Callithrix jacchus: one gene and its partners. The protein of the gene in region 3 interacts with the protein of the main gene of each other region in a pairwise test. Links are inferred from orthologs where the notes say so. Each region holds a gene or a part of one and is shown on either strand. Other genes may lie near its edges.

Region 1 (2,737 bases), on a different chromosome or scaffold from region 3:
CAAGCTCCAGGGTGATTATTTCCTTAGACAAGCAAACACCTCAGCCCTCTAATAGGGTACTTCCTGGGGCTGGAATATCCACAGGAAGTCCTGTGAGGAAGAGCTCTGCCAAAACATTCCTTCCAAGGAAGGGACTGGTAAAGTGACAAATATGCCGAATCCTGTACAACATCCTGCATCCTCCATATGTGGTCCCGACTGCAGAGCTCATCCACAGGCAGGTCGCTGCTGACTCTATTCCTTTTCTCTGGGTTCCTGGGATGCATAAATATGACCCTATATAAGAAAACTAGAGGCCAGGCACGGTGTCTCATGCCGGTAATCCTAGCACTTTGGGAAGCCAAGGTGAGCGGGTTACGAGGTCAGGAGTTAGAGACCAGCCCGGCCAATATGGGGAAATCATCTCAACTAAAAATACAAAAACTATCCGGGCGCAGTGGCAGGCACCTGTAATCCTAGCTACTCGGGAGGTTGAGGCAGGAGACTTGCTTGAACCCAGGAGACTGAGGTTGCAGTGAGCTGAGATCTCGCCACTGCACCCAGCCTGGGTGACAGAGCAGGAGTCCGTCTTGAGGAAAGAAGAAAACAAAAGCATACAGATAAAAAGTTGCACTTACAAAGCAGCTGAGTAATTTATTGGCATTAGGAAAGCATTCCTTTAAACAAGGGAGGAGATCCTGAACACACTAGTCTCACTGAGTTTATAAAAACTTGAGCCCACCAAACTCCCCATCATCTCTACACAGCTTAAACCCATGGCCAGGGGCAAGAATTCGAGTTAAATGAATGGAACCAGTCCAGTTACAAGTCGATAAAGGGAAACAGAGCGTGGGGATTTGCAGTTTTTGCTTTTACATTACAAAGTTTCCAACGCAAGAAGCCAACAATACCCCAGAGCAGCACCAAGTTACTTCCCACTGTTTCCCAAGGCACAAAAATCAGTAGTCCAAGTTCTAATAACATTTCCTGGAAAACAAGGACGCACCTCCAGTGGCTCTGTGCACAGCCTGCCCTTGATGTATCAAGTTCTTAAGAACCTACAACCGTCTGACACCCGTGGGGAGAGCACCCTCAGAGAATCCCAGCATCAGGTCTCAGTTTTCCCATCTGTAAAAGACAGCCGTGGAGAGTGGGAGAGCCTCTAGGCTTCCAGATCGAAGTCATCGCGCTCCTCGTTGTACTCCAGCACGTGCCGCTTGATCTTGGACGAGTCGACCCAAGTGACAAAGTCCTCCATGCTGCGCGTGACAAGGAAGGCGGGGTCGGTAACCACGTCAGGGCCCACGCGTATGTGGCCTTGCTCCACAAAAGCCACAGCAGCCTGAAGGTGCTGTGCCATGCGCAGCTTGAGGAGCACGGTGGGAAGGCGGCGGCGGCAGAAGGAGGAGGCCGTGACGAAGTCGCAAAGCTCCAGCGAACCGCGCGTGGGCACCAGGCCGAGAGCATACAGCTTGTCCAGCAGCGCGGCGGAAGCGCGCACGCGGAACGGGTCGCGTTCGGGCAGGTCGCGCAGGCGCCGCGCCAGCTCACGCACGGCACGGCTGAGCTGGTTGTAGCGCGTGTAGTCCTCCCGCCGCTGCAGCCGGTAACGCCGCAGCACGCGCAGCTCGTGTAGGTTGTGATCGGTGACCTCCCAGTTCAGGAAGTCCACCTGCTTCAGCAGCTTCTGCTCGTGGAACTTAAGCTTCCGCACCATGATGGCGGAAACCTCAGCAGCAGGACCCGAGGCTGAGAGCGCGTTCTGACGCCTGCGCGGTTTCTGCCCCAGCGCGCCAAAACCTGGAAGCCTGGGGACCCTGAGCCAATGAAAGAAAAGCTTAGGGTCACGCCCTCACTTCCCATTGGTCAAGGTGAGACCACGCCTCTGCACTGGCATCTCGCGTTTCTTTTTTTCTTCGCGTTTGGTGAAGGAGTGGGTAGATGCACCGGAGGGAGGTGGTGTGGACGGGTACCTACGAGGCTCCGCATGGTTTTTAGTAGCCAAAACTGTTTGTGTAGACATCATTTCCTCCAAGACTAATGCCCTTTGGGGACTGTTACGGTCTTCCGTGCTAGAGCTGAAGAGGCCATTTTTGGGGAAGAGGGGTGACTGTGGCTTGTTGATTGGGTTTACTGTGCTAACTGGGCTCCTGCGGTGCCGTGGGAGTGCTTGCGGGGCGGACTGTCCTGGGGCTGACCTGGTAGTTCCCGCCGGCCGCCAGCGTCAGGTCCTTTTTTTTTTTTTTTAAGACGGAGTTTCTTTCTTGTTGTCCAGGCTGGAGTGCAGTGGCGTGATCTCGGCTTACTGCAACCTCCGCCTCCCCGGTTCAAGCAGTTCTCCTCCCCCAGCCTCCTGAGTAGCTGAGATTACAAGCATGGGCCGCCACGCTGGCTAATTTTGTATTTTTACAAGAGACAGGGTTTCTCCATATTGGGCAAGCTGGTCTCGAACTCCTGATCTCAGCTGATCCGCTCACCTGGCAGGCGGAGTGATTCTTCACTGTCAAGTTGGACCAGGTGGCACCGAACCCATGAAATACTGATTGCCTGGCTGCTTCCTAGGAGCACAGAATCGGAATCTATAAGGGAGCCGCCTGGAAATCTGTATTATTAACGCAACACTTGCGTTATGAATCAGATGATTCGTAAAAAACAGCAAGTTTGAGAAACTTGGACTATAAGTACAAGTCCAAATCCTTTAGTCTGTGCTCAAATGAATTATCTTGACATGCATCTCTGGCCACCAAGCATTGAGTTG
Region 2 (3,693 bases), on a different chromosome or scaffold from region 3:
AGGCTGAGGCAGGAGAATCACTTGAACCTGGGAGGTAGAGGTTGCAGTAAGCCAAGATTGTGTCATCACACTCCAGCCTGGGTGACAGAGAAAGATTCCATCTCAAAAAAAAAAGAATACATACTTATTTTGCACAGTATCTCCATGGTGTAGGTCCTCGCTAGAGATTGGATCTGAATTTAGGGAAAGTAAAAAGAGTTGGCAAGTGATGGTAAACTGCATGAGCTAGCGGGAGTTTCAAGTACAGCACACAGGTTGAGTCTTTGATTTCAGAAAGAGAATACATGTGTGGGGCTCGGCATAGCCCTTAGTGCAGAGCCAGCACATAGATGTTCATCATTAGGTACCTTGAGCAAAGACCAGGAGGTGAGCAGGGAGAATGTGCAACTGACAGCGGGAAGATTGGAGACTGTGTCCTTTAAGGCAGCCTGCTTGATGGCTTTTATCCTGGCTGTCATAAGGCAAGTTCTAGGGAGCAGGAAGGAAGAAATGCTGACCGCTATCAGATATTTGGCCTAGTGGCCTCTCATCAGGGAAATGAGCTTGGTCTGTTCAATGGGAGTTGTTCCACAGAGTTCAAAGGACAAGAATGCTATGTGTTCATACACGGAGCTCTTCAAAGTAGGAACTTCACCCTATAAAGCAGAAGAGCGGTGGTTTTCTTTTCTTCTTCTTCTTTTGTGGTTTCACATAGCAAATGAGTTAGTCTCTACTTATAGACAAAGTGAGACGTCAGGCACTGAGGCGTGAGTGTGGCTTATATTTCTGGTCCTCCCCTCCTTCACTGCTTTCATTTTACTCTTATCGCGTGTTCCAGAAAGTTTGCCCGCTGGGAGAATCTTTTTGACCACTTCCCATGAGTTGTCAGATAGCTCCATAGAATTCAGTTTCTGCGAACCAGCCAGAAGCATACAGTGACATTGCATAATCTGCCTCTGAAGCGGAGATATTAGCTGTAGAGCTCAGGGGAGCTGCTCCACATCACCGACATGAAGGGAACAGGCGTCGTGGACGCTGTGCCCAAGGTGAGTGTTGTGGGGCTGTTTGAATGGGCTTTGTCGGGAAGCAAGCTGCGATGAGGAAGAATGTTGACTGGCTTTAGTTGTGACTTTCTGATAAAGGTAAAGGTGGAATAACATTGACATGGGAGTTTGAGATGGGAAAGTTTAATATAAGTTTAAGTGTGGGAATAGATGTGCTGTAAAGCTCCTTACCAGTTTCTGTCCAAGATGGGTGATGATGACTTTGTAGTAGAAATCAACTTACTTGATTGACAGCACCATCTGTCACTTTGTGTCCAGCAAACTTCTGCAGCAAGATGTGAGTCTGCCTCAGCCCCTGTTAATTCTTTCTTTCTCTGGACCCCAAAGACACTCAGTGTCACTCTAACTGTCCTGATTGGTTTCTGCGCTCACCTCCAGATAGCAGAGCCTAGCCCCTTGCCTGCAGCCTCCCATGCTGAGCCCACAGTGGCCACTTACATGTTATTTTCATGTTAACTTGTATATTGTGTGAGCAAAGCTGGAGCTTTCAGACAGACTTCACATCTGTCATGAATCAAAAAAGATTCACTATTTAGAAAGGTAAAAGAAGCTGGGCACAGTGGCACATACCTGTACTCCCAGCTACTGGAGAGGCTGAGGTGAGAAGATTAATTGAGCCCAGAAGTTCGAGTCCAGCCTGGGCAACATAGCAAGACTTCATCTCAAAAAAAAGAAAAATTAAAATGGCTATCATATTAAAAAATTTACCCAGACATAAAGAAAATGAAGCTCAAGGTTGTATTTTCATCTGTCTGTGCCTTTTTAAATTTTAAGTAGAACAGGAAAAAAAAAAAGAAACAAGCACTAAATAGGGAGCTTGCTTATTTTTTAATAATAATACAAGTGACTAGTGTGGCTGGGCACAGTGGCTCACACCCATAATCCCAGCACTTTGGGAGGCCAAGGCAAATGGATCACTTGAGGCCAGGAATTTGAGACCAGCCCAGCCAACATGACAAAACCTTGTCTCTACCAAAAATACAACAGTTAGCTGGGCGCAGCGGCGTATGCCTATGATCCGAACTACTCGGGAGGGTGAGGCACAAGAATCACGTGAGCCTGGGAGGCAGAGGTTGCAGTCAGCTGAGATCACACCATTGCACTGCAGCCTGGGCAACAAAGCAAGACTCTGTCTCAAAAAAAAAAAAATTTTTTTTTAAAGTCGCTGGTGGAACTTATGGGTGAGTAATATATATATATAATCTGTACATATATAAAATATATATACTGACAATAGTAACCAACCCTTACTATCTATATGCTAGACCCTGTGCTGAGTGCTCTACTTGCACTTTCTCATTGTTACATCTTCATAACATGCTCACGAATCAGAGATATTATTCTTAATCCCCTGTCACGGACAAGGAAGCGATGCCTCGCTGACTTGCCCAAGGCCATACAGCTGGTAGGTGGCAATGCCAGGAATCAACCCCAGGCAGACTAAGCTCAGAGTCCCACTCTTACTCGGCTCATTATATTCTCTCCCTTGGACCAGGAGTTGTCAAACTCTTTTCATAAAGAGCCAGATAGTATTTTATGCTTTGCAGGCCAAATACAATCTCTGTTGCATATTGTTGTTTGTTTAGGCAGTCCTTAAGATAATACAATCATTCTTCACTTACGGGTCATCATCTAGACTGGTCCACAGGCCCTTATGTAGTAGCAGCCTATGTCATCTCAGTTCACGTACAGTACCCCCACCCAGCCACACAGTACCGAGAAACACTCAAGTCTTCAACTCCTAGTTCAGAGGCATCTTCGGTTCACAGTTTCTTGGGCGTCCCTACAGAAACTATCAATTCATCCATAAGATACATTTTTTAAGGTTTTACACAAATAGGAGCTGTAAGTAAAGAGCTGTTAAGCTTCTTGCCTTTAACAACTAACAATACGCACTGGTGTTCAGTTCATATTAGTGCAGTTGATCCATCTCATTAATCTTTTTTTTTTTTTTTTTTTTTGAGACAGAGTCTTGCTGTGTCACCAGGCTGGAGTGCAGTCTCAGCTCACTGCAACCTCCACCTCCTGGGTTCAAGCAATTCAGGCATGCACCACCACACCCAGCTAAGTTTTGTATTTTTAGTAGAGACAGGGTTTCACCATGTTGGCCAGGATGGTCTAGATCTCTTGACCTTGTCATCTGCCCGCCTCAGCCTCCCAAAGTGCTGTGATCACAGGTGTACACCACCGTGTCCAGCCTCCATCTCATCCTAATGCCTATCTTGTTGCTTAATTGCTTTATAAATGGTAGCACAATGCTTCAAGGGGTCATGTCATGTCAGTGGTCCTTAGCTTTGTTGCATTCACCTTTAAAATAACTCTGCCTTTCATTCAGGGCCACTGCAGATGGCCTTTCAGACCCTGAGGTTCACCTTTGTACATTGGATATAAACAGTGACTGGTCCTGCAAAGTGTTCCTAATTCTACCTGCTGGCCAGTAGCTTCGTTGCCAACAGAGCCGCTTTCACCTTTGTGCCTAGCAGATTTTGTATAATTACCAGACTGTTTTATTCTGTTTTTAAAAAATTGTTTTATGGAACAAGGGGAAATTTTTTAACCTAATATTAGTGATAGGAAATGCTGGCCTCAAACAATGCAATTGCAACAAAAATAGAAATAATTGTGCATGGCAAAGACAGTAAATCTAACA
Region 3 (3,750 bases):
CTCACTGGCCCCTTGTATTTTTTCCTATGCTGTGTCTGAGGGTATGCAGACATCCACACTATCAGTATGGATGGCTGGACTGGATGACCATGAGAGTCATCTTAGTCACCAGAAATTGGACGATCTTACCTCCTGAACTAGAAGGCAAGAACCATTGTGTAATTACGGCTTTTCTATTTTGAGTATTTATGTGCTAGATACAGAACCCAACACTCTCTAGGTATTAGCTCACCTAATCTTCACAACCACTGTATGGAGTAGATAATGCTAAAGATGGAGAAACTGAGGCTCAGGGTTCACCTGACTTGCCCAGTCTAAGGACTTGGGAGAAGCTGAGCCAGGAATTCCATCCTAGGTCCATCTGACACCTGAAGGCTGAGCTTCTTGCAGAGATCTTCCCTCTTGTGTCCCAGTCTCCTGGGCACAGAGCACAGTGCCTGGAACTTGGTGGATGCTGGCTCAGCCCATGTTTACTGGGGCTGACTTATCTCCAAGCCCTCGGGCAGAAAGAGTGCTCAGAGGAGCAGGGAGATTAACACGAGAACCAAGAATGGGAAAAACCAAGGTGGGACTGGTGATCTCATCCCTCCCTTTAACATTCTGGGACAAAGTCACAAGGAAAGGTCCACCAGATCCTCCTCCTCCTAATCCAGAGCCTGTGCTCTCTGCGCCCTCCCAGTCAGGCCCCACCCAGCAAGGCCTCTCTTCTCCAGAGGAGCATTTTCTTACCATTGTTTGTTTCACCAGGCTAACCCTGCAGGATAAGAATTCCTATCCCACCAGCCCTATGTCCATTCTGACTCTCCAGTCACCTTCGTGCTGATGCTCTGGCTCCTGACTCAGTCCCGCCCCAGTGCCCGGGTCCCAGCCTTGTCCTACCAGCATCCCTCACCTGGTTTTGGTTCTGAGCCGGTGGGGGCACAGGGTGCTGCTTCTCCTGCACTCGGGGCTTCTCCCTCTGCTGAGCATAGGTGAAGCTGGGAGGTTGAGGGGTGCCTGTGCCAGCAGAAATAGCTTCGGAGTGCCCCAATTTTTGATTCGGCTGTGACCCAGGTCCACCTGGGGCTCCAGGACTAAACTTGGAAGCCACAGGAGTAAACTTAGGAGTCACTGGAGAAAACTTAGGGGCTGGTGCCGGAGATGGGGCTGGGGAACCTCGGGGTTGAGTGTTAGCCAAAGACACAGGCTGGGGCTGGACATGAACCTGAGGCTTAGCCTGGGGCTGGGGCTGGGGTGGAACAGGGAACTGTGTCTGGCTCACAGTGGGAGCCTGGGGCAGAGGCTGGGAGCTGGAAGGGGCTTTCCAAGGAGGCAAGGGTGCTGTGCCCCCGGCTGTAGGCTTAGTACTGGACTTAGAAACGAATGGAGTAGCCACTGGTGGGGGCACATATCCAGATGACACCTGCAAGGGGAGGGAGAGGGAAGAGAGATGCAGTCAGGAGAACACCATCCTCCATAGCTCTATCCCCAGTCTCTCTGGCCTTGGACCCTGCTTTTCCTACTCTCTGTTCCCTTACCCGGGCTTTGAAAGGGTCATTTTTGGTCATGTCATCCAGCAGTGAGGACAAAGAGTCGATCTCCAGGTCAATACTGCTCACCTTCTCCCTGGGCTAGAGGGTCAGAGGTCAGAGCACCTATTCCATGCCTCCACCCCCCCTCCCCCAACAGGGCAGAGGTGCAGAGGAGGTAAGAAGAAAGGACCTTCTCCTCTCGTTGGGGGTGTCCTGGTGCGGCCGCCCGTCCCAGGTCTCCATACCTGTGGTGGGAGCGGTATGGGGGCTTCAGGCCCTCCGTCCTCCTCCAGCGGAGGCGGCGGGGAAGGGAAGATCTCCTCCTCCAGAGGCGCAGGGGGAAACGATTCCTCGATGGGGGGAGGGGGCGGCGGGAAGGCACCTCCCAGAGCACCCTCTGCATCGTCGCCATCCCCAGCGAGGGGAGGTGGGGGTAGGGGAAAGTCTGGGGTAGGAAGAGGAGAGACGTCGGCCGGGGTCCGTCTACCCTCACCCAAGCTCGGTTTACCACTCTAACCCCTGACCCAAGAACTCTTGGGGGTCCCGGAGCGTGTGGGAAAGCAAAAAAGGGGCACAGGGCACCCTGAGAACACCGGGTCAGGAAAGGCCAGGGGCATGGCGGAGAAGTGGTGCAGCTCCCGTTACACTTCGGAAAACGGACCCGGAGGGTAAGATTCGTGGCCCACATTCCCGCCTCCCACCCCCAGGCGGGGGACTTGGAACGGTCCCAGGAGCCCTGGCTCCCAGCCACGAGCTCCACGATGAGGTAAGAACATCTGCTCGGGACAGGGTGGCTGCGCCCAGCCCCCTCGGCAACAACCTTTCCAGACATCCCCAAATTCCCGAAACTACTGCCCCCCACCCCGGCGCCTGCCGAGGTCCAGTCCCCAAGCCCCGCTGCATACCTTCCGGGGGAGGCGGGGGGACCTCGCCGACCCGGCCCATCTGTGCGCGCTGGGCCCCAGGCGCCGGGGAAGGCTCGCTGTCCCCAGGCCGGAAGGGATTCACTTTGGGCTTTGGGGCCACCACAGGGCCGAACTTCTTCTGCGGGGCGTAAAAAGCCGGAGCCGAGACCGAAACGGAGATCGCAAGAGACGGGCGGGGGGCCGCCATGGCCAGGCCGGGCTGCTGGGGTGGGACACCGGGTTACGCAGCGCCGAGTCCGGTTCAGGAGCCCCCGGCGGTCCCAGCTGCTCTCGGCGACCCCCACGCGCCCCCTCCCGGCGCCCCGCACCCCCTCTCCGTGGGGCCGCCCGGCCGCTCCCAGCGCCTCACCGCGGGCCGGAGCGTGCGCGCCGCGTCTCGGGTGGCCGCCTCGGCGCCGGGTCCGCGGATTCTGCGTCCCGGTCCGGAGCAGCCTCCGGCCGGGCGGGGAAGGACCCACGGAAGGAGGAGGGAGGGAGGAGAGAGGGGGCGGGGAGAGAGAGGCGCCCAGACCATACAAGGAGCTGCCCGGAGAGGGGGCGGGGAGAGCGGGGAAGGGCGGACCAGGCAGGAAACACCCCCAGGAAGGGGCCCGGATCCTGCCCCAGGCCCGAGGCTCCGCCGAAGTCCGGCCCCGCAACCCCACTCACAGCCGCCCCCGCCACCCCGGCCCGGCTCGGACCCCAACTCCCCGAGCACAGGCCTCTGATGTCATTTCCTGACCTGCCCACCCTCCCCGCCCGACCCGCGGGCGCCCGAGATCTGACTCACGGTCCCCCTCCGGGCTCAGCGGCGGAGGTGGGGCGGGTGCCCCGGAGGTAGCCACGCAGCCCCTGGGCGTCTCCGGCTGGGCCCAGCGACCAGCCCTCGGACCTGCCGTTACCTGGTCCCCTCCCGCCACCACCCGCTACCCAGGCACCTCTGAGTCAGCCTGGGGTGCCGGACGCTTGCAGCTGGGCTCTAGGGTGTAAGGGGATGGGGGATGAGGAGCCGGGCGTTCTTCCTCCCGGCACCCCCCCCCCCCACCGATTCCGTGCCCGGAGTGGGTGTGTGAGCCGGAACCTCCAGCATTCTCCGGGATACGAACTTCCAACTCTGGGTAGCCCCTTCAGGCTTCTAGGAATTCGCATCCCCCGCGCCCCCGCCAGAGGATCGGTTGCGAGAGGGACGGTTCGGGCCCGCGGGGCCAGGAATGGAGGTGGGAGGGCGGAGGCGGGGCCGAGGTGGCGGCCACCTGCGGACTGGGGACCGGGAAGAACCGACGCGGTAGCGGGCTGCCCCTCTGATGGCTCTTCAGTGCCCACCACGACCCACT

The links.
Region 1: the proteins of ZYX (region 3) and U3 small nucleolar ribonucleoprotein IMP3 interact in binary tests that used the Homo sapiens proteins (3 or more experiments, as listed by UniProt). The link is inferred for Callithrix jacchus from reciprocal best matches to the Homo sapiens genes ZYX and IMP3.
Region 2: the proteins of ZYX (region 3) and CASS4 interact in binary tests that used the Homo sapiens proteins (3 or more experiments, as listed by UniProt). The link is inferred for Callithrix jacchus from reciprocal best matches to the Homo sapiens genes ZYX and CASS4.

The regions. Positions count from the first base shown.
Region 1 is NC_133509.1:22,563,217-22,565,953, forward strand, and holds U3 small nucleolar ribonucleoprotein IMP3, read right to left. Parts: upstream 1,753-2,737; 5' UTR 1,697-1,752; coding exon 1,142-1,696; 3' UTR 608-1,141; downstream 1-607. UniProt on the Homo sapiens protein: Component of the 60-80S U3 small nucleolar ribonucleoprotein (U3 snoRNP). Required for the early cleavages during pre-18S ribosomal RNA processing. Part of the small subunit (SSU) processome, first precursor of the small eukaryotic ribosomal subunit.
Region 2 is NC_133506.1:52,060,553-52,064,245, forward strand, and holds the start of CASS4 (cas scaffolding protein family member 4), read left to right. Parts: upstream 1-786; 5' UTR 787-989; coding exon 990-1,025; intron 1,026-3,693. UniProt on the Homo sapiens protein: Docking protein that plays a role in tyrosine kinase-based signaling related to cell adhesion and cell spreading. Regulates PTK2/FAK1 activity, focal adhesion integrity, and cell spreading.
Region 3 is NC_133512.1:104,123,435-104,127,184, forward strand, and holds the start of ZYX (zyxin), read right to left. Parts: upstream 2,852-3,750; 5' UTR 2,787-2,851; intron 2,640-2,786; exon of another isoform or gene 2,637-2,639; 5' UTR 2,625-2,636; coding exon 2,417-2,624; intron 1,957-2,416; coding exon 1,757-1,956; intron 1,611-1,756; coding exon 1,518-1,610; intron 1,403-1,517; coding exon 893-1,402; intron 1-892. UniProt on the Homo sapiens protein: Adhesion plaque protein. Binds alpha-actinin and the CRP protein. Important for targeting TES and ENA/VASP family members to focal adhesions and for the formation of actin-rich structures.